Drosophila melanogaster: one gene and its partners. The protein of the gene in region 4 interacts with the protein of the main gene of each other region in a pairwise test. Each region holds a gene or a part of one and is shown on either strand. Other genes may lie near its edges.

Region 1 (7,564 bases), on a different chromosome or scaffold from region 4:
GTAGCTGCTTGAGGGACGACCGCCATTATTGCCGCCACCAGGAGCGCCGTAAGTATCCGAAGGACGACCACCGTTTCCACCACCGGGAGCACCGTAGGTATCCGAAGGACGACCGCCGTTTCCACCGCCAGGAGCACCATAGCTGCTCGATGAGCGACCGCCATTTCCGTTGCCTTGTCCTTGACCAGGAGCTCCATAGCTGCTTGAAGGTCGTCCGCCGTTGCCATTTCCACCACCACCAGGAGCACCATAAGTGTCCGATGGGCGTCCACCATTTCCGCCACCAGGAGCACCGTAGGTATCCGAAGGACGACCACCGTTTCCACCGCCAGGAGCGCCATAGCTGCTCGATGGACGACCTCCGTTGCCATTTCCACCACCAGGAGCTCCATAGGTATCTGAGGGCTTGCCTGCATATCCACCTTGTCCTTGTCCCTGTCCTTGACCCTGGCCTGGAGCGCCATAGCTGTCTGAGGGCCGTCCACCGTTTCCACCACCAGGAGCTCCATAGGAATCCGACGGCCTGCCGCCGGGACCACTCTGACCCGGTGCTCCATAGCTATCGGACGGAGGTAGATACGAGTTAACTGGTGGCTCCGGTCGCCCAAGGACCACCATTGCCATGAGCAGCGTCAAGCCGAGTAACTTGAACATATTCCACTTGTATCTAAAGCTGAAGCTGGAACTGAAGCTCGGTCTACGGACTGATCGAAATCTTTGGGATGAGACTAGCGCTTGGAAGCAGCGCCGAATTCTGACTGATCTGTGGTAGCTGCCACATGGCGTATTTATATGAGGCAAAACCGAAAAACTGAAAGTCTAGGATGCACACACACGAACTCGACTATGAGTTGGAGGTGGCGGTTTTGTGGAGCGTGTGGCAACCAGCGCAACAGCTGCTGCTGCTGCTGTTGCTGCTGATGCAGCTGATGAGGCTGCCACATACGATCGTCTTCAGAGAAGCGGTGGCTGATTCTATGCGGTCGAAAGCAAAAATCTCAATCACTGAGCTTGCTTGCCAACACTTCACCACCCCGATCTGCGCCAGATTGCCACGTAAAGGGTGCCTCGGTCTTGGGTCTCGGGCTGATTTGCCTTCTTTCGGTGCACATCTTCTCGAGGCGCGGCGAGGTGGTGATTGTGCCCGGGCCCCAAACCTTTTTGCATCCGCCGTTGCGTTGGCCCAAAGTAGTCTACTCGGTCTACTCCACTGGGTGAATGTGTCGGCGGCGTCTGCCGCGGCTCACTCTCCCAAGCGAGTGGTTCAGTGTTCCAGTGGTTCAGTGGTTGCTATGACAAGCGCCAAAGTTTGCATTTGTTTGCCTTGTCTTGTCAGCGACGAAAAAGGAAAAATAATAATAAAAAGCCCAGCGATACATTGTTGACGATCGTGCCAAAGACGACCCCAATTGGGTGTAGGATCTCCAGATGCGTCTGATGGGTGTAGACGGGTCGAATCGATCGCAGATTGGAGATTGTGGCGATGCCTCGAGGATCAGAGAATCAATTGAAAATGAAGGGTATGCAGATGATATGCAAACTGGAATCACTGAGACTAATTGCATTGATTATGTTCCAACTAGATCCAGAGCAGCTTGGTGGTATCGAAATGACAGCTTAATAATCTTCATGGCAAATCTACAAGATCGATCATCTGTGCGAGTTGTTAAGATGCAAATTCAAGATATGTGAGGTGGCTAAAACGAAGATTCTATGAAGTTAAGATTCAGATAGCTAAATATCATCAGTATTATCTCAAACTATTTTCATCATAGATACTTAAATCTGCAAGGGTATGCGATACAGCATCCACACAGTATACATTTCCACACATCCATTGATTCAGTTATTCAGCCCAACCAAATCGGAACAGCAGCCCACACAAAGGGATTCCCGAACTTATGGGAAATTAATTGCGTCGAGTTTTCACAGTCCGCCCACCGTATTAACTTGGCTAGCTCGACTTAACTTTTGTTGGCAGTAGCGCCATTCGCGGATTATGGATCACAGATCACAGCCTTCGCCGGCAAATGGGAACGTGCAGAATTAATTGCCCCACTACGTGCTTGGTCATGGGAGTTGGAATGGTAGATGCGCCGGCTCAGCATCCTGCTTTTAGCCAAACGTGTGGGTCACAAAATGAACGACTGATGAAGATTGAGATATTCGCCATAAAACGTTGACAGTTTAAAATAACTCACTGAGCTACTAATCTTAGGGATTTATCTTCATAATTTTTGCTTAGCTTGTCTTAACATTGTACAAATCTTACATATAAAGGCGTCTATATCGCCTTAGGACTTCCTGAAAGAGCCATGTGTGTATGAAATAGATGGTCACGCATACCAAACAGAAATCGTAAAACACGAGAATCAGCAGGAAACCCAGATAAACGCAGAGAAGTAATGTCAAAGTGCATACTATCAATTGGACCAGGCACAGCCAACGATGATTAAAGAAAGCTGAAAACAAATGCTTATTAAATTTAGTTTAGTTTGTACTAAGAAATTTACGTACAGCTCAAGAAGTACAGGATATAAAATGCACAGCCGATGGCTCCGTTGGGAGCATTTACTTGGGTTATGTTACCCAGACCAAAGCCATCACCATAGCTGATGGAAAATTATTTCATTAAATTTATATTGTATATATTATAATCTTACCTACCCCGATTTAAAAACCAGCGAGCAGCTTATATTATCGTTAACGTCGCACATTGGCCTATAGTTCTCATCCTCCTTTAGTTTCATTTTCACATACAGTGAATACACCGAAATGGCCAATCCACAAACGCAAATCCCACGCAGTCGGGAAGCTGTACTGTACGCCTGTTCCATTGTGTTGCTCCTTGGGTAATGAGCTCATTGCAGCAGGATATTCCAGCTCAGATTTAGTTAGCCAAGGAATAACACTGTTCGCAGCTGCGCAATAAGGTTGGCAACAGGATACACTTACTGTGGGTATCTTAGTTTTATAATATACCTTATACAGAATACAAATCTATACTTGCTTTATAAATAATGTATTTTTCAATGGGTCCCTGAAAAATGCGACTGAGGTTCTGTTAGGGTTTTTGTTAGGGTATTTAAAGTCTAGACTTGCTCTAATAAATCCGCCTTGTTTTCTCAGTTGGGCTCGCATAAATTCTCGCTCCAATTTAATTTGATGTGACAGGTGGGCAAAGGCAACAGGTAATATTTATAAGCAAACAGAACAACTCGGGGTTGGTGACCAAATCGAGCTATATAAGTGGGTTTTACCGGAGAAGGTGAAACTCCTTAGTCTGGGAACTATCACCTCTAAACCGACAAACGTGCACATGCATCTGCCGCAAACAACATCGCATTAGGCCACGCTCCATTGCATGCATATGAAACTAGCGACTGCGACAACATCATCCAAGTCGAAGACGACCAAGAGACATCTCTGCCCGGCCAAATCAGACTAGACGAGTGCTCATGTAGAGCCGCTAGTCGCGGCATGACACAATGTTGAATACAACTCACAACAGCGGCCCCATCTTTGGGGCCCACCCACTCGCTCGTTCCGTGTCCCTTTTTAATTTATAGCCTCACGAATTTGAATTATTCTATGTTCGGGTGTTTAATAAAAAATAAATACCCAAAAGTAGCTGGGCCCATCCAAAAGTGATATATAAATGCACGTTAGCCATGAGGTAACCGAATGGAAACAATTTACAAAATTGCAGTAGCTCAGCCCCCAGGAGTGAAGTGAAGTGATGAATTCACGCAACCTTGGCTTCGCTACTTTGCCATATAAAAAAAATGAAAACAGTCACCGCAGCCAGCGACTTGGCACAGATATCCATTTGATATGGAAAACCCTTTCAAGCGGCTGTCAATTCGATTCTGGCTCAAAACCCGGGCTCAGCTGCTCGATTGCGTTATAATGTGCTACTGGAAATGGGCCAATACAAACGAAACCACAATATCTATATATAACTACTCTTAATCTTTATTATCGTAGCGACCTTCAAACAAAAACAGTGCAGAATAAGAATAATTTGAGGTAGATAATCATTTATGCACAAGATGGGCAAACACAAACAATGCAGTTGTAAAGAGTTCTGATTTTGTTTTCAACTTCCTGATGAAAAAATCTCGAATGAGTTTAGAATGGTAATCCAAACTTTTAACTAGGGCTACACATGGCTAATGCCATGTTGCAGGTGCATCTCCTCAAGCACGCGTTGTGTTATTTGTCTCCAACGAGGTTTGCCATTGATACGTGATCGAAATCTGGTGAAGTGCCTTTAACAAAAGGCGCCTTGGATGCCCAAAAGCAACTGACTGCGAAATGATGAGTCTAGACAATTATGAATACGATTATTAAGGTGAATGCATCGAAACTTGGCTTTTGTAGTTGGCAGTGCTGGTGGTGCACGTGCAACTGGAAGGAAGCTAAGGTTGCTGCGTTCAGATGTGGAAATCTCACACACATTTGTATGCATCATTTGGCTTAATAAATTCGCAATTAATTTGAATTAAAGTGCAGCATAATGACGTGCTAATTTTTCACATTACTTGAATATATTATTTGGCCGTTTGCAACTTAGGCATTGACCAAAAGTATCAGGTAATAAGTAATTTAATTTTATAAAACTCAGACATCAGATATTGAATATAAATGTCAAATTTAAAATATTAGTTTATAGAATTCTATTTTTGTTAATGGTGCTACGGTAACTTAAGTTTAGACACATTCACTCGCGGATCCTCGAACATTGAACCCCTCAAAGAGTGTAACATTATATAGAATTTGGAAAGCGATCCGAAAGTTGGTATCTATGAGGCAGGATAAAGTTCTTATCTTCACCTTCCAATCGAAAGAGCTAAGTTTCAATGCCTAATGCCTATAATCTGACGTGCTGACTTGGCAGCTGCTGTCTTCAGCACGCGTTGTGCTGTTTGGTTTAAACAAATCCCCACGCTTAGATCCGTGATCGAAATCTTGTCAAGCTCTTAAACAAAAGCATCGTATGCCCAAGTGCATACGACTGCGAAATGATGGAGCTTGACAATTATGATTACGAAGGCGAATGCTTTGAGAGTTGAAACTTGGATTTTGTTGTCGCCCGGTGCACGTGCAACTGAATTGAAGTTAAGGTTACTGCGTTATTGTGATTCCCACCGAGATGTTACAATCGAACACATTTGTATTTTCATTTAGCCTAAAACATTCGAAATTAATCAGAATAAGAGTTTAGAAGTTATTTGTTTGGTTCAATGATTGCTATTTTATCTTGTTGCTAATTTACCACCAGGTTCGTTTGACTGGGAGTTTTTTTTTAAGGATTTTTGTTTTTAGCTGGGGGATGTTGTATCTGCGGGTTAATTTAACTTGGGGTTATTTGATCTAGGGATTAATTTACCTAAGAATTTTTTATATGGGAGTTAGTTTACCTGGGGGCTAGTTAATCTGGCGGTTAGTTTAGATAGTGTTGCATTTGTGCTGTTAGAAGGGCGTTACATGGGCCTTGTGCTTCCCAAATGCAACTAATTTTTGTGTAGGTAACCCCCAGTTTTGTTTATTTTATATCGACTAGATTTGTTTAAGAAATTACATTCATTAGCAAATAGAAAATATATAATAATCATTGCTCATAACGAATATTTGAACACCCTCCTTAACTAAAAACACTTTCGATGGACTATGGCGGAACCAACTTCTTCGTACTCCAAGCTGTCGATCCACATGTTTTGGAAGCTCGTGAGTGAGGCCAAGACGGAACCACCCGTCCAAACGGAGAATCTGCGGTCTGGACTAGCGTTAACCTTGATTCGGATGGATGGTGGAGCCATTTCGGTTAGGTCTTGCAGGAATCTATGCTCGATGTTACGAAACATGGTCGTACCGCCAGAGAGAACAATGTTCGCATACATATCCTTTCGCAGATCCATGTCGCAGTTGGTTATCGAGTGATGGGTGGCCTCGTGGATGCCCATCACCTCCTGACCCAGCAAACTGGGTTGGAAGAGAGCCTCCGGGCAGCGGAATCTCTCGCAGCCCAAAACGATTTTCTGCCCATCTGGCAGCTCATAGGTTTCCACCTTTCCGTGGAGATCCATTTCCTTGGCATAGTTCATTGACACATAGCAGAGTTTCTCCTTGATTTCACGCACGATTTCCCGTTCAGCAGAGGTGCCCATTGTAACGCCCCTCTCCAGAAGCAGCTTGCATAGATAATCGGTGAGGTCCCTGCCGGCCAGATCAACTCGTACACAGGCGTGGGGCAGGGCAAATCCTTCGTAGATCGGTACCGTGTGCGTCACACCATCACCCGAGTCCACCACAATGCCCACAGTACGCCCGGTGGCGTAAAGTGAGAGCACAGCCTGAACTGCTACATAAAAAGCTGGCACCTGAAAGTGTTCGAACATAATCTCTGTCATCTTCTCTCTATTCTTCTTCGGATTCAGTGGGGCTTCGGTGAGTAGAGCCGGCAAATCCATTGGATCCGCCCGCAAGAGCTCGTACGTGTGCTGCCAAACCATCTCCATTTCATCCCAGTTCTTGACCATTCCGTGCTCGATGGGATACTTTAGGGTTAGTATTCCCCTTTTTCGGGCTGCCGCCTCGCCAATAACACTATCACCGATCACGGAATCCAGCAGGACGTTCAGGTGACGAGGTCTGCCCACAATCGACGGGAAGACAGCACGGGGAGTATCTTCTGGGGAGAATCCAGCCTTACATACTCCAGAGCCGTTGTCAATAACCACTGCGGCGTGGTGTGAATTACTATCTACCTCGCTGCTCATGTTTCCAGGAGAGGTTGCTGAACGAATCATGGTCAAATCATAAAATCTTTAGCTTATTTAAGCAACTTACGTAAATGTAGATATTTGTGAAGAATGTTCTGTGCCCGTTTATTTGTTATATCGATTTTGATTCGGGAAGGTATTTGAAATGTAGACATGTTGTGTGCTGTGTTCCAGTCGGATTTTTAAACTTATGACGTTAATTTCATGGTTTATTTCCAATTTAGCGCCATGACATACAGAGGCCAAAAATCGATTAATTCAAGTATCAATCGAATGGATGCAGTCGATACGTAAGCAGCTAAAATATGCTAATAGTCACTAAAGTAGTATTTAAACATAAGAAATATTTAAGAAATCCTCAATATGATTTGAATATGTTTCAGTGCAATGTTTCAATTAAAAATAGTTTTTAATTTCTTTTAGTTTTACTATTTAACTTCAATATATATAAGTTGATCTCACATCACTGACTGATTGGGGTCTTTCGATATTTTCTCATCTGCTCATCTCTAGCAGTAAATTGTTCAAATAGAACAAGCGAAATAACGAGAACGTAAGCCTTGTTTTATTTGATATAAAATCTGATATCGGGACTTAGCCTTATTAGCAGTCGAATAAAACGCAGATATGTTCGTGGCCCGTAAAATTTCGCAAACTGCAAGGTAAGTTGCGAAAAAAAGTATGCCCAAATCGATGCCGGCTGATTACATAAATAGCAACAAATGGCGACCCTGATCTTGAGGACATTATAAAACAAGACACACTTAACCCTTTGCAGC
Region 2 (8,781 bases), 1.6 Mb from region 4:
ATTGCGTGTTTGGCCAAATATTGTGTGGTTTGCATAGCCAGGATGGGCCATGCCACCAAATATCAGGTATTTGGCTCGGTGGTAAGCCTCTGGTTGCGCAATCTGCTGGGTTTTCCGATGTGTCTATGTGGTGCCACTGAGCCGCTGAGGTGTGGTCGAGAATGTAAGACACTCGGTTGGCTACAAACGTTTTCCACCTAGTAATGTCTCCTTTAATCCAGTGCAGAACAATGGTAGCATCGGTCCAGTAAAAGGTAGATATATGTGCATTGGTCCATCGGTTATTCTCCAGCACCCATTTGGTGAGTTTGGTAGCTAATACTGCACCGCATAGCTCAGTGCGCGGTATTGTTAACGGCTTGGTTGGCGAAATTTTTGATTTTGCGACGATGAGCGTTGTATAGAAAGTCCCATCAGACTGTTGGGTGCGTGCATACACTGCTGCTGCGTAAGCACTGGAGGATCCATCGCAAAAGGTGTGCAGTTGTATCTCACTACTAAATAGTGGCGTAAATTTGACGCTGCGTGGTATTTTGATCGTCTTAACCTTCATTAGTTGCTGTCGAAATTGTTGCCATTTGACGGCAATGGTGTTGGGAACTGGCTCATCCCAATCCAGTGATGTACTCGATCCGTCCTCGCGATATTGCTTCGCTAGTGTGATTTCTTTCAATATAATCTTTGCTGAAATTACAACTGGAGCGATTAATCCAAGAGGATCAAATAAACGTGCTATGGTCGATAGGATTTCTCGTTTTGTTATACCGGCTGGAGTATTTGCTAGTAATTTATAAGTGAAGCAATCTTGCTTGGGCAACCAGTACATACCCAGTGTTTTGATGGTGTCCGCATTGTCCCAACTGAGGGATGTCTGCTTGCATCGATGCTCGAGAGGTATCGTTGCCATCAGATCCTGGTCATTACTAGCCCATTTTCGTAGCTCCATGCCAGAGGATTTTAAAGCTAGCATAGTTTGCAAACTTTTCCGTATTGCTGCCTCTTGTGAATGATCGCCTGAGAGAATGTCGTCGACATATATCTCATTTTTGAGAACGTTGGATGCCATAGGATATTTTGTCTGTGTGTCTTCAGCTATTTGATGGATGACTCTTATAGCTGTATAAGGTGCAGACGCTGTTCCAAACGTGACGGTAGTTAAGCAATGCTGTTTGATGACTCCATCCGCCGCCCGCCATAAAATCCTCTGGTACTGCGTGTCATCAGGGTGGACATTGATACAGCGATACATTCGTTGTATATCGGCAGTGAAAACAAACTGATATTGTCTCCAATTCAAGAGAACGGCTGGCAGATCATTTTGCAGCGTGGGACCTACACATAGTACATCGTTTAACGATCTGCCATTTGAGGTCCGGGCCGATGCGTCAAAAACGATACGTTGTTTTGTGGTGAGGCTTTCTTCTTTGAAAACTGCATGATGTGGTAGCACGCATGATGCAACATGCCGACCGTAGGAATCCGTGGTTATGGTTGAGTTTTCGCTCGTCTCTGCCAACGTGATTTGACCTAGTTGAAAATATTCTTCAATTCCTTTGCAGTATCTGATCCATTTGTCTGGGTCCCTTTGAAGGCGCCTTTCGAGTTGAAGATATCTGTTCAGGGCGATCTGATGAGATTTTCCGAGCGTCATACTGGGGTCAAAGTTCCTCTTGAATGGCAAACGGACTTGATAACTGCCGTCTGGTTGACGTTGATGGGTCTGCTTAAAGAAAGACTCGCACCATTGATCTTCTTTGGAGAGCTTTGGGCGTTCTGGAACTGATTCTACCTCGCAAAATACCTTAAGCAGCTCTTCGGAGTTTATTATGGCATGATTACATCGAATGTGGCGTGTAATATGCGTGTTGCCAACATTGCCTAACAGAACCCATCCGAGTTGAGTATTCTGCGCTATGGGTTCGTTTGGCAAGCCAATCTTAGTTCCAGGCAACAAGAGTTGTGCCATAAGGTCGGCTCCAAAAATGATATCGATTCGCTTGGATCTATAATAATAGGGGTCTGCGAGCGTGAGACCATGGATATGACTCCAGTTTCCTGCTGGAAAACTTTGACTTGGCATGTGTGATGTCAACGTGTTCAAAACATAAGCATCGTCGACCTTTAACGAGAAATTTGGGTTAGTTGCTGTTTGCACCGAACAACTTACGATGAATTTGCAGCGTCGTCCTGAATCTTGACCGACTCCGGTGATTGAAGTGCGAGTTGTGCTTCGGGAGAGCTGGAGAGACTGTACAGCATGCTCCGAAATGATAGTTGCTTCCGATCCTTGGTCAAGAAGCGCGTTTACCGTGGCCTGGCATCCTGTCTGTGTGTTACTGAGTACAACCCGAGCTGTTGCTAGTAGTACCTTTCGATGAGTCATAGATGAAGTTGTAGTTGACATGCACTGTAGAGTCGGCTTGGCATCTGAACTGGCTGCTGAACTTTGGCATGATGTCGAGGAGGGTATCAGCGTTGGCTGTGTTGCTGGAAAATGTAACATCGTGTGATGACGTTGACCACAATGAAGACAATTCTTGTTGCTGGGGCAGCTTGCTTGTGTGTGCGATTTTCCCAGGCAATTGAGACACAATTTTGCCTTGCTGGCCACTTCCTTCCGTTGGTAGCAATCCATTGAAAGAAATTGCGGACATCTTCGAAGTATGTGTAAGTTGCCACAATGATAGCAAGCGGACGCGGAAGCACCCGACCTGGTGTGGGCGCTGTGCACACGCACGCGTTTAGTACCGTCTGAAGTTTCATTTGACTGTTTCATGCCGCTGCACGCGTTACGGCTTTCAATAGCGTCTAACGTAACAAGTCGATCATTGAGGAACTGTTGCAGATCTTTGTATGAAGGAACGTCAATCTTGCTGCCCAGATGATGCTCCCAAGCTGTGTGAGTGTCTTTGGGTAGTTTGGTTGTTAGATAATGAGTCAACCAAAAATCTCCTCCCTGTAGTGGCGCCTTGACGGTATTGCAAGCGGCAATGCAGACGTTGACTGTACTAACCATAGACCGTATGTCAGCAGATTTTTCTTTCGAAAGATTCGGTAAGTTGTAGAGCATGTTCATGTGGCTGGCGAACACAATTCGTGGGTTGTTATATCGTTGTAGAAGTGTGGTCCAAGCGACTTCATAGTTTGCTTCAGTTAAAGCGATTTGGCGAATGTCGTTGTCCAGGCCTACTGGTAATGCTTCCTTTAAAAAATGGAACCTTTGAATCTTATCCAGACGCTCATTATTGTGAATTAAGCGTAAAAATGCATCATGAAAACTTGGCCAGTCCGCGCAGTTGCCAGAGAATTTCGGAACTGGTAATTTTGGCAGTGGTATCCGTACTTCCTCTACATGTGTTGTTATTGTAGAGTTAGCTGATTCGTTGTGCGTCACTGTGCCTGGATAAATTCGTTTCTTTTCTTCGGCCACGAAACAGTAAACTTCCATGCCCAGGTCTTCGAATTGGCTGATTGTATTTTGTTGCTTATACACACTTTCTTCGTAGTCTGCCATGCATATAAGTGTGTGATGCGCCTGATGAAATTCTTTGTTAAACTCGTCGATTTGATTCAAACGTTTTTCGAAATATATTTCCGTTTTCCGCGCACTCGAGTCTTTTTTCACATTACTGAACAAGCGCTTCAAAGACTCAATGCGGTCAGTTTGAACTCGCACCAGTTGATCAAATTTCGACATTGTTTATACTGACGTTGCTCCACTGTATGTAATATGCACAAATGCTCGTATGTTATCGGTGTTCTTCTTTGACGTCTTGTTTTTTGAGTTGGCAGAGATTCCGGCAAATCTAACGGAATCGAAGGGCAACGGGACTTAGCTCTGTCGTGATGAGAGCGAGCGCGAACGTTTGCGTATACTGCTCTGTCGTGATGAGAGCGAGCGCGATAGAAAACGTAGGCACGGTGATTTATCTGGATGAAGCCGACCACGAAGATAAAATTGCCAAACAGCTTTTAGCAATTATTAATTATGATTCTTATGAGCAAGGTTCCCCTCATGGGCCACCAATGAATAGTTGTGATGCCTCACTGCTTTGACATCATTGTAATGGGGTTCGCAAATAAGAATCATATATACACTATTTAACTTCATTTATTTCTTCATATACAAAAATCACGTCTGATCGCTATGACCGCAAAATTACAATGGAGAAAGAAAGAATACAGTTCAGTTCAATTAGCATCGATATATAAAATGTTAATCCGCTGTTAAGACAGCTGAAGCACCGGGTGACTCCGCTCATAATCCGTACACCCTTTGATATTTTATATTGGGTGTAGCTTGAAAATAGCTAGTATTTCCGCAGCCCCAAAAGTAGGCATTAATTTGCTTACAAATCTATTCATCTAATTAATCTTCATCCCCAGCATGGGCTATGAAAAATCCAAAACTCAAAACCAGTTTGATTTAATTAGATATAAATTAGCGTTGCGTGTGGTGCAGACAATGAGTAGACAAACTGGATCGGTCTTGGGCGGATATTGGGCCGCTTAGCCGGTGCAATAAAATGTTAAAAGCCAGCGTGTATCGTCTTAAAAACCGTTTAACCGTACAAATGTGAAGCTAGTTTGGCGCCAGATAAGTGGCAAATAATTTTATTCGAAAATGAAGGTAGACAAAGGGCACAGGTTCTATTTGTGTGTCGATTAAATGACAATAAAGCTAGTTAATGGTGGAATTTGAACTGATTTGGAAAGGGTTATGAACCAAAAGTGGTCACTTGGATCTGTACACATCTCCTCAGACAATAGCGGTGGCATGCGTTGGAGTGGGAGTCACATTGGCCGTCTCATGAGTCTGGGCAGGAGTATAGGTTGTGGCCGTGGCCGGATCGTGAGTCTGGGCGGGAGTATAAGGTGTGGCCGTCGCATGAGTCTGGGCGGGCGTGTAGGAGGCCGCCGTCTGATCTGGTTCCTTGTCCAGGATCACCTTCTTGAGGATGAAGTAGAGGGCTCCACCAATCAGCAGCTCACCTACCGCTACACAAACGATGAGAGCCCATCCGGGAATAGCAAGGCCAGCTGCAAGAAATAACAATGTTGAGCAATATCGATCACGTATACGGCATCACTTACTGAAGTATCTGCGGGTAAGGGTGCGTCGTCCGCGGTTCACACGTCGCGTGGCCTCCGATTCTTGCAGGCAGCAGGCCAACAGTACTACAGAATAGAAAAGAATATACAAATTTAATATTTGTTAGACATAGTGATTCGTCCGAGGCGCAAAACACACATCATACACATTTTTTCAATGATCACGCGGCGTGTGGTCGAAGGTGGCCTGGTAAGATTGCGGCATTGGCTTTGAAGCATCCATCAAACCCAAGCCAAACGGAACTCATTGAAATAACAGCAAGACCATTCATCATATAGATCTTCAAATGCGCGAAGACTTGTTAAGATATTAACAATTAATCGTTGAGAAAATGTTTAACAACAGAGCCGGGCCAAAATCAACAAAAAACGCTGATTCTGATTGAGCCAAAATAGCGCGCGCGCGCCAACTTCTTCGATGATAAATGTGAGCTGGCATATTCCTTCCCCATTGTTCCATTGCGGATGTCAGATTCGATTTCACGTAAAATTATCAAAATGTATTTTTAATTAATAATATTTTATGTGTGTGTTCGTTCAGCTCATTCGGCATATTTTGCGTATGAAATATTAAATGGATTTGTTTGTCGATATGGAAAGTGTATAGATTTTTCCTCGATTCGATTAGTCGGTGATTCATGGAGACAGGCATTTGACAAAACCCATCCGCCAAATGTATGTGGCTAAGAGTGCGACCGATTTTCGTTGGCCAACCGCTAACCAATATTAATTGTTTTCATTCACTTTTTTGTCTAACATATTTCATAATTTATATGCGCAATAATTATGCCACTTCCGGTTTTAGGGCATTGGACTTTTGGCCTAATAAAAATTGCATGAAATCAAAGGAAATGATTTCGCATTTACTCACTGCCAGCTAAATTATATGTTTTATTTGGGATACCTTTCAATCCAAAAAGATTTCCCTCTGAACTCACTGATTCACCACGCCCTAAAGTTAAGCACACCAAGTGATGGGGCAACAATGAGTAAACACAGTGCTTATCTGAATCGCACTGATAAGCACACATTTTTGTAGAGTTTTCTTGTGCCTGATTGTGTGACGCACACTTGGCCCAGTTACTCATCGTTAGAGTCTCCAATTGCTGAAGTTGGGTTATTAAAACCCCACACCTATGGAATCATACGGATGCATCAGTGCATCATAATGCGTTAAAGTCTCACACATGCACAATACTCCGCCCACACACATGCACCAAAAAGTATCTCGCCGGTGTGCTGCGTATCTCTAGTTGGCACTCAAAACTCGGCAGATTCGAACGAGCATGCAGAACTTTACCCAGGCATATCACCAAGTAGGTGGAGCACTTCTTAGCCAACTTCATTTCCGTCGTTTTCGTCGGTTCTTTCGAAAAACTTATGTTCGCTTTTAGCTGTTAGCCAAGTTTGTAACGCGCACGTCGTCGACTCCAAAGTGGAACTAAAAACCTGTGCGTGATTGCATTCGTCGGCAGGTGCTAGTATCTTATCTCAAAGCACCTTATCTTTCATTGATAAGATTAGAAGGCTCTCTTTTCTCCCGCTATATATTACTTCTGAGGTCATCAGCACTGAAAAAAATAGTTTCATTTATGTTCAATCTAAAATGTCTCCTATATTTCTAAGCCTAACATGTTCAATATGCAAAATTCGTTGAGTTCAAGTCCTTACACAATATTTTATATCTGTACTATCGAAGGACAATAAGAGTCTTCTTTATTTATTGCCCATTTTAAAAAATATTTTTATAAAATCTTTTCACCAACTCCTTCGACTTTATAAGCTTTATCCCAATCCTAGGCATATTGTTTAAAAGATAGTTCGAATATTTAAAAATATTCTGCAAAAAGATATAGTAGTTGTAGGATATTTGTTTTAAAAATGTTTATTATTGTAAGTTCGGGTTTGTACTCGGGTTGTTCATAGTGGATTCAAATTGACTAATACGCTCGACTTATTGTTAGTTTCAATCTGAGACTGTCAAAGTCAGGACTTCTTCTGGAAAAACATCCTCGAAAATCTCAAATGCTGCGGTGGGAGTTGGCGCAATCGGCGGCTTAGTGGCGACGGAGCTTCAGACGACGGACGGTCTTGTAGCGGTAGCCATCGCTGGCCAGGACGGTCTGCTCGGCGGGCACATCAATGATGGCAGAGGCGGTCTCCTCCACGGGGGGCAGGTACTCGCCGGAAGGCAGCTCAGAGACATCACGGCGGCGACGGATCACACGACGCACGGTCTTGTAGCGGTATCCATCATCAGCCAGGGGAGTCTCCACAGCAACAGCCTCGGAGGCGGACTCCTCAACAGGGGGCAGGTATTCAGGGGACAGCTCGGAGACATCACGACGACGACGGATCACACGACGCACGGTCTTGTAGCGGTATCCATCATCAGCCAGAGGAGTCTCGACGGCAACGGCTTCGGAGGCGGATTCCTCAACAGGGGGCAGGTATTCGGCGGACAGCTCGTTTACATCACGACGGCGACGGATCACACGACGGACAGTCTTGTAGCGGTATCCATCAGCAGCCAGAGGGGTCTCAACAGCAACAGCCTCGGAGGCAGACTCCTCAACGGGGGGCAGGTACTCGCCGGAAGGAAGCTCATTGACATCACGACGACGACGGATCACACGGCGGACGGTCTTGTAACGGTAACCATCATCAGCAAGAGGGGTGTCCACAGCAACAGCCTCAGAGGCGGACTCCTCAACAGGGGGCAGGTATTCAGGGGACAGCTCGGAAACATCACGACGACGACGGATCACACGGCGGACAGTCTTGTAGCGGTAGCCATCATCAGCCAGGGGAGTCTCGACGGCAACAGCCTCGGAGGCGGACTCCTCAACAGGGGGCAGGTACTCAGGGGAGAGTTCGGAGACATCACGACGACGACGGATCACACGGCGGACAGTCTTGTAGCGGTAGCCATCATCAGCCAGGGGAGTCTCGACAGCAACAGCCTCGGAGGCGGACTCCTCAACAGGGGGCAGGTACTCAGGGGAGAGTTCGGAGACATCACGACGACGACGGATCACACGGCGGACGGTCTTGTAACGGTAGCCATCATCAGCCAGAGGAGTCTCGACGGCAACGGCTTCGGAGGCGGATTCCTCAACAGGGGGCAGGTATTCACCGGAGGGGAGCTCGTTCACATCACGACGGTGGCGCAACTTCAGGCGGCGCACGGTCTTGTAGCGGTATCCATCGTCGGAGAGAACTCCCTGCTCGGCGGGCACCTCCACGAGTTCGGAGGCAGATTCCAGGTTGTTGTCCACTGGCGGCAGGTAATCCGTGGCAATGGAGGCCGCCGAGGCAGCTGCGATCACAGCAAAGGCAATGACAAAGAATTTCTGCAAGGCAATAAGCGAAGGAGAGGGTTATGGGTTAGTCCTGGTCGCAGGATGACTGCTGGAGAACTAACCATTTTTCCAGAAGATCCAAGACGATGTCTGCTAGATTAATCCAAAGTTGATTCTGTTTTCAAACCAGACCCAACGACACTATTTATACACAAACTGCGCGAAAAGTTCTCGGCTGACCGATGTCCATTCACTTTGCGAGATCAGATGAACTGAGATGAGCTATGATGATCGCTGAGCAAACCGGTTAACAAGCGGCGAACTACCGCATCGATCGATGGCTTCTTCTACTGGGGCCGAACTCAGA
Region 3 (8,411 bases), on a different chromosome or scaffold from region 4:
TGCCACTTATAAAAAAATATTTTCGCGAATGCGAACTGGACTTTGTTACGGATTCCCAACGGACCAACCCACATCACAACCTTTGTGTAGTTATTGGAGCGCAAGTACTTTCACCGCTCACAAAAAGCGTCCAGTTTTTTCTATAATCAAAAAACAGGCCACGAAATTCACAAAAAAATATTTGTATAAGGACTTGGCGAGTGTGGGAATGTGTATTTGAATTGGCAGCTTTCGTGTAAATACTTTTCAATTTTTTAGGGTTTCGACGGCACAAAACGACGACGATTTCCACCACACCCACACACACACACACTCACCTGTGTTTTACAAGTGGGCCAGAATAAAAACAAAACTGCCATTGAAATAATTCTGCACTTGAGGGTAATTACATTATCGTTAAATTCAAAATATAATGAAACTGGATTGTACAAGTTCAAATTGGCGAGCTTTGGTTGCCGGCAATCCAAACCTGTTCATGGTTTTATGAAAGCAAAAGTTCGCGTATATTCATATTTGTACTTGTTTCCAGCGAAATGTCTGACTTTTATATTAATTAATTGAAGCGCAAGGGTGCAACAAAGTATTAATCCCCTGTTATAGATGAATACAGACATCAATTTTGCAAACATTTTTATTTATGGCGAAATTAATGAATGCCAGTAGCTATGATATTCTATGGACTTTTCGTGTTTGCACACAAAAAAGTGTCGACATGAAATGGTGTTTCTGGCATATTTTTTTTCAGTTGCATATTTATTATCTGCAATCTGCTTAATTGATCATAATATATAATATTTAGTCTTTGGCCTGATAAGAGTAGTATGTTCTTATCACTATGGGGTGAGTTTTAGATAAGAAACTTCGTCAAACGAAACATATATAAGTTATAGTTAAAATCTGATTCAGAATAAGTAGTGAAAACTTACCTGAAAATGTCAGCAAATTGCTATTATTCATTAGCACTGCTAAAGCAAATAACTAAATATTTTAAATACCTAGAGATATACAACTTTATGAATTCCTTCGTAGCGTTCTAAATTTATTCGTATGTGGTTTATTTTGGGAACGTTTACCCACCATCCGGATTTTCGACCCTGCGAACAGCAAAACGATGCGGATAGCAAACCGAATTCAATCGAAACGCTAAGCCCAGCAACACGCCCACTTTCTGGCCCCCCAGCAAGCCCACTTGTGCTGGCTTGGCAAATTCCAATTAATTTATGAGCCAAAATCTTGTTTATCGGCTGACGGTTTGTCGGTTTTGTGGCTTTTGTCTGTCTTGCTCGAGTGCTTTGGACTTTCACTGCTGCGGTTGTTGCTGGTCTGGGTATTGCTGCGATTAGAGGCGGTAGTTGCTCCACAAACGAGTTGTTTTCGAGCAAAGAAATGCAGGCAAATAGCGCCAGCTTAAGCTTTAGTCTTAGCCACACATATACTATAGCTACTTATGAACGCGATTGACGCTCGTAAATTCAAGTGCCTTCATAGCCGTGATCGTCTAGTGGTTAGGACCCCACGTTGTGGCCGTGGTAACCCAGGTTCGAATCCTGGTCACGGCAATGCTGCAATATGCATTGTCACGGAGAAGGATCTACTTTTTTTTTTGGTGTGATCCTAATTTTATAAACTAAGAAATCAAGGCACAAATTACACTTTACTGTGCACTATTTGGGCCATTTTTTTAACCAAAAGGTGTTTTAATCCGAAAAGTATTTATCAGATCGGACTAAGGAGTTTAACCGCTTGTTTAAGGAGTTTACAAAATCCTTTAGCCAACTTGCATGTGAAATGTAACAATTTATTTTAAATTCCCATTGTCTTTCATTTATTGAAAGAGTTTAAGATAGATTTTATTTTATGAATCGTTGTTTTGTTCTTCAACGAGCCAATATCTACCTCAGAAATCAGCTCTATAAAATAGGCAATTGTAACTTAAAAATAAAATACTAAATCTCTTGGGCAATATATCTCCCAAGGATATTTCAAACCAAATTGATTTATTTAATCTCTTTTAAGCGCCACACTTTAAATAGTAAGGAAAAGCACCTGAGCTTGGCTTCAATTGTCCTGACTTGCGGCTTTTTCTGCAAACTGAATGGCGGCTGGCTTTGACTTGAATTTTAATTTAATTGTGAGCAATTGACAGAAATATACAAGAACCCAATCCAGCACTTCGACCGAAGGATATTAAGACGCTGCCAGCTGGTGTTGACATAAAAACGCAATAAAAATACTGCCACCGAAACGGAGCAGACGTAACAATACACAGTAAAATGAAATAGGAAGGAATAAAAATAAAAAGAAAATATATTCTATGATTTTCTTACATATCACCATTTAAAATATCCTTTAAAATATTTGGAATATACTTTAAATGATATCTTTCTTTCAAAGCAAAAGCCTTAAAATAACGTACATACCTATTACTTATTTTTACCAATATTCCCCTTAAATAAGATTCCATGTTCGGTGTACGTACAGGGTACTTGCCAAAAAATCACTCAAAATCAATTGAATGTGGCCAGCACCGGTTTTCCCGTGGCAATAAGGGAAATCAACGTGAAAATAGCGACAACAATGCGTTTTGTTGCCGCTGCGGAGCAAGTGCTTATTGGATTTCTCGTCGTGAGAAGCGGGTGACAGCCTTTGGAAATCATTACTGGTTGGTGGGAATGGGTGTGGGGCAACTGGTCTGGGTTGTTGCGGGTGCTGAGTTGGGGCGATACAGAGTGGCCCATAATTACTTCAGGACGGTGTGAATCTTGTCCCAATTGCCATGGCGAATTTAAATTTTCCGCAAATAAAACGGCCGTGTGAGACAATCGCATTATTTACCATATACAATTCACGTAAAATGCAATGGCCATTTTCATGCCGTTTCAATGAAAGTAAAGAAAAATACAAATATTAACCACAAAGGCCTTGCTCACATCTGTGGGGGGTGGTTGTGGGCGGTGTGCGGTGGGTGGTGATTGGTGTGCAGTCGCCTGTATTTATGCATTTAAATTCGTCCGTTTCTCTATACGTATGTGTGTTCATATTGAATGGATAAAAGGGATTTGCGTTTATTTCGTTCTGCGTCTGGCCTGTTGGGTTCTTATGTATATATATATATATATATCCATATACGATCTGTCTATATGGCCGATGTCTGCGGGGCCATTTCGGAACAGAACGCAACACGCCGGAAACATTTTTGTTGTGCCATTTGCATTGCCATACAATTTTGCTCAACACATTGGCAGCAACAACGGGCCCATTTGGTTTTATATTTCATAAACCGGGGGGATACGACGAAGGTTTCTGTTTTAAGCGGCAAGTCAGAACGTATAAAATACAATAAATATGTCATAAAATTGTGGGTTGTCACAAACACTTTATATACATTTGTACCGAAAACCAGTATGGGCACCTTTCTGAAACTATATATTCATTCTCTATATTTTCACTATTTTACTAGCTATTTGTATACAGCGTAAGTTCTTTATTACATTCTTTCAATTTACGCTTGTCCAGTCCATCTTAATATTTACTTGTTCTTAAACGAGCACCGGAAATGATCGTTTGAGCTGTGCTAATTGAATGAAATGTTAGACTCGGCTGGGAATTAAAAAAGAACTGCGTATTTTCGTTGACTCATTTCACATTTTTAAATATATTTGGTACCTGGTGATTAGCTACAATTTATGCAAATGCAAGATCATACAAATATTTTCTACAATGGCATCGCGACGAGAGCACGTCTGAGTTTAGAATGCAAATATTAGTGCAATTGTACGTGTCTTTGGCGGTGGCAGCTCCTCAATAAGTTAAAATAAACTATGAACTAAACGAATAACAGTTATTAGCACGTGCACGCAGAAATGAGATGGCACCAGTGGTGGACAGGACAGCCTACTGGACCTTCTTGGCCTCCTTGGGCGCAATGGGTAGTCGTTCGATGGCCTCCTTGTACAGCTGGTTAAGGCCAAAGGTGGCGCGCACATTGTCGCTGGAGAAGAAGAACTTTTGCAGTTTACCCTTGGAATCGACGCAGGGCCTGCGGTCCGTCTCCTTGCCCTGTTGGAACAGGATCACAGTTGGTAGCTGTCGGGAGAAGCTGCTGTCCGAGATGCGATACTTTTGGGCCACGTCCGGAAAGCGTCCAATGTCAATCTTGCCGAACTTCAGGTGGTCCGTGTTGTACTCGGCGGAGAGCTCAGCAAAAACGGGGGCGAAGTTCACGCAGCTGGGATTCCACACCGTGTAGAAGCAGATCAGCCAGCTGGTTCGCTTGTCCCTGGCCAATTCCTCCTCGAAGACCTGTGCGTTGCGGAAGTAGGTGATGTGCTCGGGTCCGCGATACGAGGGCTCCGGCAGCACCATGCCCACCAGGACGCATAGAAGCAGAAAGCCCAGGCCGTAGCGGAAGTCCGCGTAGGCCCACAAAATGGCGTTGGCCACTTTGGTGTAGAGGAACGACGAGGCCAAGTAGTTAATCATGGTGACACTGCCCGTTTTGCGTGACCGTATCATCACCACGATTAGCAGGAAGAACAAGATTTCCACCTCACGACTGTCCAGGTCGCATGCTTCATCCTCTCCGGCGAGAATAAATAGGCGGGTGCAGATGAACTGCGTCTTTTTGGCCAAAAGGTACGATATGGCCAGGAGTATGTTAACCCAGTAGTATGGCTTGGCCAGCAGAGCCATCTGCTTCTTCCACGTCATCTCTGCGTCCGGGGGCTGAATGCGCTGATCTGGGTCACGATTTTAATTAACAATTTCCCGAGTTTTTCTTTTCTTGCTTTTGACAGCCAATTGTTAATTTTAGCCTCGCCGTTGACTAGAAATTAGCAGCCTAGTTGTCTGGCACGGGCGTTGCCACCTGATAAAAGAACAGTGGCACTCTTGTCAGTGCTGGAAATGGTATTAGTTCGTTGGCGCCTTTTCAAATTCAAAATCATCAATTAACAGTTTGCCTTTCTTAAACGTTCTTTGATACGTTTTATTTACTTATATGCATTATTATCTTACAAGTATTTAGTATTTAGTATTTAGCATTTTTTTTAAATGATAATTAATCAAAAGTTAAAACCATAAACAGAACTTGGGACAACCATATTTGTTTGCCCGAAAACCAACCGAAACTGATAAGCGAGTTATTGTTACATCAGCATTTTGCTAAAGTCATTGAGAGATTGTTGACCTAGCACACAAAGGCCACTGCAAAAAAAAGGTAAAAAAAAGGCATCGAGGATCTTCATTATCGGCACACACGCCGAGTTCAAATCTGCGAAAAAGCTTGGCTCTCTACGTGATCTCAGACGCTCGTGGCTTCCATCAGTCGCCTTATCACCCAAATATTATTTTGGCCTTTTTTTTTGTAGTTCCTAAATTAAATGTGTTTGGAACTGTGTGAATACTGTGAGAATTTTGTACCCACTTCATAGAGCATCACCAGTATTATCGCCATCGTGGCTGACTCTCCGCGTTGTGCAAAGATTAATTTTTTTGTAGTAAACACTGTGCGCGTCACTGGACTAAACGATTTATTTTTAATCGTATTATTGAGACCAATTTACGAGGGTCATCTCCATGATCCCCATCGGATCGATCACCCACCTCTTTACTGGTTTCACTAGTAGGCCGTTCTTTGTTTATACAGCGATTATTTTATGTTCAATACACTGGCAAATAAAGTGAGCTTGCTTCTATTTATAGAATATTTTCAACTGTGTTATTAGTAACCTCCTTATCGAATCAAACAACTTTCTCGTGGCTTTATATTTAAATTCAACCAATCATTCACTTTATAGTAAAAAAAGTATTAACAAAGACACTAGAATAAGACAATAGAATAAGAATTCTAGTGTCTTTGGTAATAATATATTAAAAACAATTAACTTAAAACAAAATAAGATTTTTTCAAGTGCACTGTTTTGTACAACTTGATAGAAATGAAATAGGGAATCAATACAGAAAATATTTCGAAAATCCGAGATCATGACTAATCAAAGTCAAATCTAAGGTGTTGATGCTTTTGCACCTTGTCTGCGCCAAAACAAAAATGAAGTGAAAATTTCAGTAAACAACGTGCACTTAGGTCAGTTTTTAATAATATTATAATCACAAATGCCTTTGCCAGCATGCTATAGTGTGTTGGCAGCCGGATTAATCTGGTTTGGAATAAAGTCTCGTAAGATTGTCAGCCATTTGAGTACAGGGACACTCGTGATGGGAACGAGAGCCCTTCATCTTGGCTGCGGCTAAAAAGCAAAACTGGTCTATAGATCCAGGGCTCTGATAGCCATATCAAGTACACAAATCTACTTCCCAGCCCCATCGAAACTTCCCGTAGAGCTTGGAAACAAATAGGCTTGTGTGTGGAAATGACAAAAAAAAAGGCAAAACCAAAACAATGACAACTGCAACTGATAAGTGGCACAAAATGGCGATCACTTGCCGGCTTTATAATCGCGCTATCAAGGCAGCCTGATCTCCTGTCTCCCGCTTATCACTTGGCGGCAGCTCCGAGCCGAACCGATCCGATCCGAACACGCGTTCTATAAATTCCATTCCCAGCCAGGCGACGTCTTCAGTTTAAATCCGAACCCTTGTGCTGAGTGTTCATCTCCGAGTAGCAGACATAGACAATCGCAGACAATCGAGCAAATCCCAGAAAAAACGACAGGCATCAAATGCCAAATCCATCGTGCAAAGCTAACCATTCCAATTGGCCTAATCTGATTCATAGTTGAAATTGTGATAAAAAACAAAAACCAAAGAAACTGGGACACATTTCGATCTAAGCGAAATATCCCCTATCCCACAAACTTTTTCCGGACTTTCAGTTTGGCCTTTGAATGCTGCTGCAGCAGTGCGGAAAAATCATCAATCTCGATCAGCATTTCACCGAGTGCTGGAATACAAGCCCATTGCGAAACTTTGACTTCATCATCTCCCTTCTGAGCGTTATTTCCCTAAGTGGTGGGTGGTGATTTTAGCCATGTATTTACAATGTATAACTAACTTTTGATGCTCCTCCTCCGCCTCCAGTTGTTAAGATGGCCGCCATTCCACAAGGTGCATTCGCAGCCTGCAAGATTCGCGAGCAATTCAACGAACGTGAGCTGATCATCGCCCGTCTGAGGTCCGCTGCCGCAGATAAGGGTTCCGTTGACAACGGGAACGCCCTAACCCGTAAGTGCACATGACGATCCACGATCTCGATCCGCTGGGTCAATGGAGCTCATACGCATCAATTTTGCATTTCCAGAACGCGAGTACTCGCCCAACAAGTACAACGACAAGCTGATGAACTCCATCTGGGGATTGTACAATCGCTATTCCCCCCACAATGTGAAGAAGAACGAGTACGCCCCCACCAAGTGATGACCTAAAGTGGGGCCACGTTCGCTTCCAGCTGACGTGCCCCAAACGCGACTAGCATCCCCACCAGGATGTTGGTCAAAATCAATTATATATTATATATACACAACTATAATCTCAAGCATATATCGATTTAAACGCACATAACACTTTGGTAACAAATATCTATTTAATGCTGTAATGTTTTGTAAAATTCAATAAATACTTATGATATTGTATGTAAAGGGACAAGACCATGAGGCGTAGTTTAATTTAAATAGCAGGACTCGTAGGTCGGCACCATGTACTTGATGTTGATGAAGGCATCCTCGCCGCCATGCAGTTCCAGCACCTGCAGCGTCTCATCGATCAGATCCCCCAGATTCAGATTGTTCTTCTGGGCATAGTCGATCTCATCGCCGCAGTTTACTATACAGCACAGAATATCCACTTCAATGGAAGTTACTGGAAGTAATCGAGTTTAGTGGAATACCTACAGTTTTTCACCTTAAATGCATTGAACATGGGCAGCAACTGGCGGTAGAAGGGCACCAGGGCGGGTCCCACCAAATCCGAGGACATGACCAGCTGTTGGATTATCTTCAATGTCGTGCACATTACCTCCAGGTTTCGTGTGCTCAATGCGTCTGCAAATGGGGGCGTATTTGGTTTTGGTTTTGTGCTCGCATTGGCAAGGTGCAAATTAGACCGAAAAACTTCGAGGCATTTGCGTGCCAGCCAATGCCCTGGTACTCACTCTTCAGCGGCAATATTAATTGCGGTATCACCGGGTGTATCTTCTCGCCCCCGGCCAAGAGGAGATCCGTGACCCCCTGGCGGGCATAGGTCTTGTAGGGATGTTTCGTCTCCGCCAGTCCGTCGAAGAAGAGCGGCAGATAGAGGCTGTAGTCCAGCTTTTCAATGTCCACCTAGGCGAGATACGGGAAGAGGTGACACCGTTGGCGGGTCAAAGGTGAATAGAGCCGCTCCAAGTTCGAAATTGGTTCGTGTACCGGCGGTGGCGCAAGTCTTGCAAGTGTACATTTGCACGCCATGCCGGT
Region 4 (7,029 bases):
ATCGTCCTTCCTCCTTGCACACCCGACGACAGGTCTCGTTGTCCCAGACGGCGCAGGGTCCTCCGTATCTTCCAGAGAGACAGTCGGCATCGGCTTCCTTGGCGCCCAGGATGAAGATGGTCATCACAGCCAGGAAGAGGTACAGGAACTTGATCTGCATGTTGTCGGTTTTGAATCAGAGTGCTGCTGTCGGAACAATTCGAACTTGATTTATGAGTCCAAACCCCCAGCAACCGCTTTATATAGGGATCGGGATCTCTCTGCCAGCTTCGTCGTATTTCTGGAATTGATTGGCAGATAATTGGAGATAATTATTGAATTGTATTTCATGGAAGGGCATACTTTAGGGCTGATAAGACAACGAAAACTGACTTCAAAAAGTATTCTCTTTCGAGATAATGATCATTACGGTAAGTGTCTAAGAAAAGTCGCATGAAATTTCGTTTTCTTTTTAAAAAGTTTCACTGCCATCTTCTCAGTTAGCAGTTGAGTAAGAATGCGTAGTTTTTCTAATGGAAAATTAAAAATGGCTTATTAATAATCTGCCGACATTGATTTTATGCAATGTGCCATTTATCACGAGACTTCTAGGAAACTAATTAAACCAGTTTCATTAATTAAATTTATTCATAAATTGTAAAACTGTCGAGTTTGTTAGGAAAACCCAGAACCGGATTCAAACACCAAACTTGCACTTTTCGATGTAACACGGTTGATAATTTGTTGGAAATATTAACATGACAAGATTATCTTTATTTCCCATAAAGTGATATGGGTGCTGGTAAATGAAGATTTGTGTTCATAAATGAAAATGGCCTTTCCAACTCTTGTTAAGACTGAAATAGTCTATGCTTTTTTTTTCTTAAATGCTTATTATGAGTTGAATTATATATTCCACTTCTTTCTAAATGAATTTTAGCTTTCTATTGAAGTTAACTCTGATTATTTATCATTTAATTATTTCTTCCATTCCATTATAAATCTCATTTTCGAAGTAAATTTATGATTTTAAAAGGATTCGTTCTTTAAGTAGAAATAAAACTGTATTATTTGCTGTGAAGTATATTCTTTATTTTTCTTTTCAAAACAATAAAAAACATATGACACACATATGTGTCAAACATATTGGACGATGAGGATCCTCAGCATTGTTCGCACCAGCACTTCAGACTGGCACTGCAGTGTCCACTGACACGTCCTTCCTCCCTGCAGAGGCGACGGCACTGCTCTCCATCCCAGGCCCAGCAAGGACCACTGAATCTTCCAGATGGGCAATCCACGGCCGAAGCCGAGTTGGCCACCATTAGGACAATGGTCACCACAGCGAGGAGAGCAAACAATCCTTTAATTTGAGCCATTATTAGAATGTTCTTCTGGTTAAAATCTTTACTTTTGAGTTTCTTGAGTCCGACTGCACTCTTATATAGGTACAGAATTTGTATATTAACCGATTAGCATAAAGGTGAAAATGCAAATAACTGCAATATAACTTTCGAAAGGCATACTTTTGGGCCTTTTACGCGACAAAACGCGCATCGCTATTTTGGGATGATAGAATTGCTATACCTTCTTGATGTTGATGCACCTTTTTGTTTAATATACTTACCACATACATATTAAATCAAATCAAGAGATAACTCCTGAAAGGCAATGCTTACGTGCCTTTTACTGTGCGGTGTACAGTATATTTATTATTGGCTCAGAATAAACAAAAAAACAGCATGCACTTTTGAACTGCAGTGGATCTAGCATCCTTCGCACCAGCACTTCATTGCGCCACTGCAGTGTCCACTGACATGTCCCTCCTCAATGCAGAGACGGCGGCACTTTTCTCCACTCCAGGCCCAGCAAGGACCTCCGAAAGTTCCAGATAGGCAATCACGTGCCAAAACAGTGTTGGCCTCCATTAGGACAATGGTCATTACAGCAAGGATAGCAAACAGGAATATCATCTGCACCATGACAACTGATGTTTTCAACGAGTCGGGAATTTTACTTGAGTTCTTAAAGACTTTTGGCATCGACCACTCGTGGGGACGCTTATATAGAGATACAGATTTTAAGATTTTTTATTTGATCGTAGCAATCGATAAGCTTCTCGGAAATTCAAGCTAACAATAACCGATATAATCCTAGTTTTCCAGAAACACTTGATTTATGTGTGCCATGTGTCAACTTCATTGATTTAAAAATGCATCGTTATCATAATAAGTTATTTACCTAGAATTGCTATCTTTTCGATTTAATGATGTATGTAAACATTCACTTCTCCTAACACATTGCCATACAGGAAATTAAAAGACAACAGTGCGTATGAGTGATAAGCGTAAGAGGCCTTTATATTTATATATTATTTGTTTAGAATGAAATATTCAATATACACATTTCAAATGGATATAGTATGGATTCAGCATCCTTCGCACCAGCACTTCAGGCTGGGACTGCAGTGGCCACTGATATGTCCCTCCTCCTTGCAAATACGTCGGCACATCTCGTTGTCCCAGACGGCGCAGGGACCCTTGTATTTGCCGGAAAGGCAATCGGCATCAGCCATATTGGCGGCCAGGACAACAATTGTCATCACAGCCAGGAAGACGAAAAGGAATTTGATCTGCACCATTGCAACTGATGTTCCGAACGAGTCTGGTACTTTACTTGAGTTCTCGAAGACGTTTGGTATCGACAGCTTGTGGGGACGCTTATATAGGACTACACCACCTCCATGCATTTCCAATAATCTTTTTTAGCACGTTTCAAAATCTTTTGTGATGCATTTGCTCAGTGGCTAGGTGCCTCAACTTTGATGTCACACATGTGCTCCTATCTGAATTCGATAAGCTTCCAAGAAACTCGAGGCAGAGCTCGCAATCTTGCCCATTGCTGCAATCGATAAAATGAATCAGGGAATCAGGAAGTACCAGTGACCCCTGATTGTATCGAAAATTTCGACTCCAAAGAGGCATTTTATCAAATTGTATACAGTTAGTTCGCTTGGTCTAATTATGTTTGGCGTTTATTTACAAACATATACATCTGAAAATTAATGCAGATCATAAAATAATACATGATGTTTGCATTAAATGTATAGTCATTATAAAGTTCGATACGATTAAAATTAAATAGAAACTAGGTTCTCGGTTGTGGTAAAAACATTTACATATAGCATTACAACTACTAAGATTTAGGGACTATGTCTAACCATACACAAACACAAATGCGTGTATACCTATGTATTTTGTAAACTGTCTTTAGTCATTTGCTAATCCGTGGGTAACTATTGAATACAATAATTTATTTCACGTATGTATAAACTTTCTCAAAATGTAAAAAACGTAGTACATATGTATTCTCTGCTGTTTGGGCTCACTTATCGATCTAAACTAATGCAATTAACTACAATCGAATAGGTTTAACATACTATATAGTATATGAATGACATCCTGAACAGCATGTTCCTTTAAACTTTGTGTCTCCCGCACTAATAGATAATCGTGTTCTTCATTTTCATTTTCATTTTTGATTTCACTTTAATTAAACTAGCTCAATGGTCAATCGACCGAACTTGTCCCACTCTCATTTACGCCTAAATTCCACTAAGAACAAATAATGATACAAAAAAACACGAAAGCTGCACCATGGCAGACCAGTCTCCATTGCAGCGGTTTGCACAATTAACGTTAAACTAGGCTCCTAATTAGAGTGCCACCTCGTCGCCATTCCTGGTACTCAGTGGTGACACCTGCTCCTGATACTGCTGTTCGGCCTGCAACTGAAGCTCCCGTCGCCGCTGGGCGGTCACCGTCAGGCCGAGATTGACGTCCACCTGTGCGCTGGAGACCACTAGGTTGTTGGCGCGTGGCTCGTACATTATATCACGTATTGATGTTGCTGCTGCTGTTGTGGCGGCCTTTGTTGTTGCGGTTGCGGTTTCCGTTTTGGTCGTGGCAAAGTGTACATGTTGTTGCGCCTGATGTGGCTGTCGTCAAACCAAATCGCTCTTCGGCGTTGACGTGGCCCCTATCGCAGCCACGGGCGCTCCTGTGCTGGCCCCACCAGTGGCTCCCTGGTTGCCACTGGACGTGGCCTCCAGCAGGGAACCCGCCTCCACATCGCCGGCCTGTCGGGCGGCATTCCGCTGGCGGCACAGATACGGCGAGTTGGTGGGTGAGGGCAGTTGGTTCTGTAATTAAGGTTTATACTTCATTATACAATTCTACATGTTCCCATTAGACTAGATGAACTCACCAATTTGTTGTTGTTTTGGCAGCACGTGGCCTTGACACATCCTTCTTCCGTGGTAGGACAATCCAACGCGCAGCAGTCGGAGCCGCTGATGTTGATGCTGGAGGTGCCATCGGACATGTTGCAGCCTTCGATCTCGCTGAACTCTGGCTGAATGGTGGTAGAGTGGATACCCTCGTTGTGGAAGAACTCCTTCACCTTTTCGGCAATCTTCATGTACTCCGAAAGGTTACGGCACCTACAAGGTTTACGAGAGATGGATTAGATTGCATTAATTTGATTTATAAATGGTTATAGAATTAATTTTTCTTTTTAAACAGGCAGTTACTCTTTTAACAAGTAAATCTCACCTAATATGGGCAGAGGCGATGATGCGGTCGCCGGCCAGTTGCCACACATGGAACTCGTGCACAGCCAGCACGCCATCAACTTTCTCCAGAAGCCTCTTCTGAATGGCATCCACCTGGATGTGGGTGGGCACCGTTTGGAGCAGAATTAAAGCGGACTCGCGCAGCAGCGGCCACACGGAGTGCAGGATCAAAACAACCAAAACGATGGACAGAGCGGGATCCATGTAGTACCGGTACTTCCACTCCGTCTTCCACACCACCACAGCACTGATTACGACAATGATGCTGCCAAGGGCATCGCTCAAAACGTGCAAGAAGGCGCCGCGCATATTCATCTGGCCGGGATCATGGCTGTGTCCATGGCTGGATTTCTTGACCGGTGCCTTTTCCTTCTGCTTCTCGTAGGCAAAGTCGTTTTGCTCATCCTCGCCCTCGTCCATGTTGGCCAACTCAGTGAGGCGGCTGTGGTTACGGGTGAGTCCGCCGCCATGTGAGTGTCCATGGTGACCGCCGTGCTCTGCAATGCAGATGAAGTTAAAGAACGGCCTACTCTTATCTGTATTACTTGGTCTTACCGTAAAGCAGACAAAGTCCAATAACATTCACCAGAAGACCCAAGGCTCCCACGATGACAAGCAGTTCAGGCTCGTGAATCGGCTCCTCCTCAATGAATCTGTGATAAATGGAAATGTATTGTTTTATTTAAACTGTATTAAGATAACATAACGAAAGCACTCATCAAATCCTATGTTAGTTTATTATTTTCGACAGTGTAGCTGGCTTCTGCAGGGAATCTGTAGCTATTGGCAGAATAATCACCTCGCAAAGCGTTCGATAAATATGCACACAATGTGACCGGAATGTAAATGAACAAAGCGTATAATTCACACAACCCAATGCACAAATACAAACCGAAATGTGACGATATAACGTGAATGTATCACAACAAATTAACTCACAGACGGAGTAAGTCAAGAAAATTTAAACAAATCACGTTAGCACATGTCGATGCCAAGGCAAGCCTTTTGCTCATAATACGGCTTGGCTTACAATTGTCAGATCATTAAATAAGTGGTTTTTGGGTGCGGATCAACGATCCGTAATGAGTCGAAATATTAAAACCATTTGCGTTGCGGCCAAGGAGTAAAGAGTAAGCGAGTAGTAATCCAAGTTAATTAGTTTCAGAGCCACGTTTAATAAGCAATGAGTTTTAAAAGCCTCGTTATAAAACTTTAATCGAATTTATACAGAATTTAATAGTATGCTGACACCATTGTAACATATTTTTTGGTTTTTTTTTTCTCAGGAATATAAACAAAACCAATCTCCAAGCCGCTTAATCATTCGATTGGTACTTTGCTTGTTATTTAAGCATGTAATGACTCATATAAATGAGTAGAGATTTTCGCTTGGCGAGCAGATGTTTCAAAATTGATTCTATTGCAGCTTATCTTAGTAGTGTACATTCTGCAAACAATGTTATTTGATTGATCACAACGCACTCACCTTTTGCAAGCCTCGATGGTGATGCTGAAGCACAAGGCCACCAGGAAAACGGCGTTGACCAAAGCACCCAAGACTTCTGCCCTGGCCCAGCCAAAAGTGTTCTTTGACCACTTTTTCGGTGACATCTGTCGAGATAAGGAGTTAGCTGAGTGATACACGTTGTATTTTTCGGTAAAAGCCAGTAACTTACCTTCACAGACAGGAATGATATGACCAGGGCCGCAATGTCGCCCAGCATGTGGAAACTATCCGCCACCAGAGCCATCGAATTGGTCACATAGCCCACTATGATCTCCACGAAGAAGAAGAACGCCGTAAGCCACATCATCGAGAGCAGCCGGCATTTTTTGCCCGAGTACTTGGCCATTTTGGAGAAACTGCAAGAGGGAAGAAGGTGCACGGATTAACAATTAATTGAATCTCTTGATCTCTAGAACCATTTGATTTTCTTACAATACAAAAATTGGAGTCATGGAAACAGTAGTCGGCGAAACAGACTTCCCCCAATTTATTTACCAAAGAAAGCCATTATTGGACTTGGAGAAGTTTGGCTGTGATGTTATGCCCCCATCTTATACATTTTCCATCAATATGGCTTTCGAAATATCAATCAAAGCTCGTTCTCAGTTCATTCAACTGCTTTTTTTATGCAGTCAACAAATAGCCTGCCAAGCTCTGAAATTGTTATTGCACAAAAAAAAAAGATACTGAGACACGCACGCCCAAACAAATTACCAACAAATTGAGTTTTTCAATTGTTTTCCATTGTTGCTGCTCGAACAGTTTTCCATTTAGTTTCATTTAGCCCTTTGTTTAGGGAAAAGTTTTAGTACCCCATCGGGTAGGCATTTAATTGAAACCGGCTATAAGAAGAATATGTGCCCGGTTTATAGGGTCTGAAAAGGGGGCTTGGCGACGTTTAAATGGTGTC

Evidence for each region.
Region 1: the proteins of Drsl2 (region 4) and Vkor interact in a two-hybrid assay, tested with the Drosophila melanogaster proteins (one large-scale study listed by BioGRID).
Region 2: the proteins of Drsl2 (region 4) and hoka interact in a two-hybrid assay, tested with the Drosophila melanogaster proteins (one large-scale study listed by BioGRID).
Region 3: the proteins of Drsl2 (region 4) and CG11007 interact in a two-hybrid assay, tested with the Drosophila melanogaster proteins (one large-scale study listed by BioGRID).

Annotation. Positions count from the first base shown.
Region 1 is NT_033778.4:16,773,638-16,781,201, reverse strand, and holds Vkor (Vitamin-K epoxide reductase), read right to left. Parts: upstream 2,838-7,564; coding exon 2,668-2,837; intron 2,613-2,667; coding exon 2,518-2,612; intron 2,463-2,517; coding exon 2,269-2,462; 3' UTR 2,208-2,268; downstream 1-2,207. Other genes in the region: resilin, read right to left, coding at 1-654; Arp53D (Actin-related protein 53D), read right to left, coding at 5,652-6,799, 6,853-6,940; Sod2 (superoxide dismutase 2 (Mn)), read left to right, coding at 7,413-7,447, 7,564-7,564.
Region 2 is NT_037436.4:4,896,674-4,905,454, reverse strand, and holds hoka (hoka), read right to left. Parts: upstream 6,556-8,781; 5' UTR 6,459-6,555; coding exon 6,413-6,458; intron 5,179-6,412; coding exon 5,095-5,178; intron 5,041-5,094; coding exon 4,760-5,040; 3' UTR 4,586-4,759; downstream 1-4,585. Other genes in the region: CG13705 (uncharacterized protein), read right to left, coding at 7,170-8,465, 8,537-8,539.
Region 3 is NT_033778.4:19,499,487-19,507,897, reverse strand, and holds CG11007 (uncharacterized protein), read right to left. Parts: upstream 4,831-8,411; 5' UTR 4,711-4,830; coding exon 3,895-4,710; 3' UTR 3,304-3,894; downstream 1-3,303. Other genes in the region: CG16926 (uncharacterized protein), read left to right, coding at 6,846-6,969, 7,039-7,182, 7,259-7,374; CG15120 (uncharacterized protein), read right to left, coding at 7,619-7,779, 7,848-7,997, 8,108-8,279.
Region 4 is NT_037436.4:3,309,966-3,316,994, reverse strand, and holds Drsl2 (Drosomycin-like 2), read right to left. Parts: upstream 2,647-7,029; 5' UTR 2,621-2,646; coding exon 2,408-2,620; 3' UTR 2,314-2,407; downstream 1-2,313. Other genes in the region: Drsl5 (Drosomycin-like 5), read right to left, coding at 1-160; Drsl4 (Drosomycin-like 4), read right to left, coding at 1,143-1,358; Drsl3 (Drosomycin-like 3), read right to left, coding at 1,746-1,961; ZnT63C (zinc transporter 63C), read right to left, coding at 3,983-4,180, 4,246-4,480, 4,593-5,109, 5,168-5,265, 6,099-6,223, 6,289-6,465.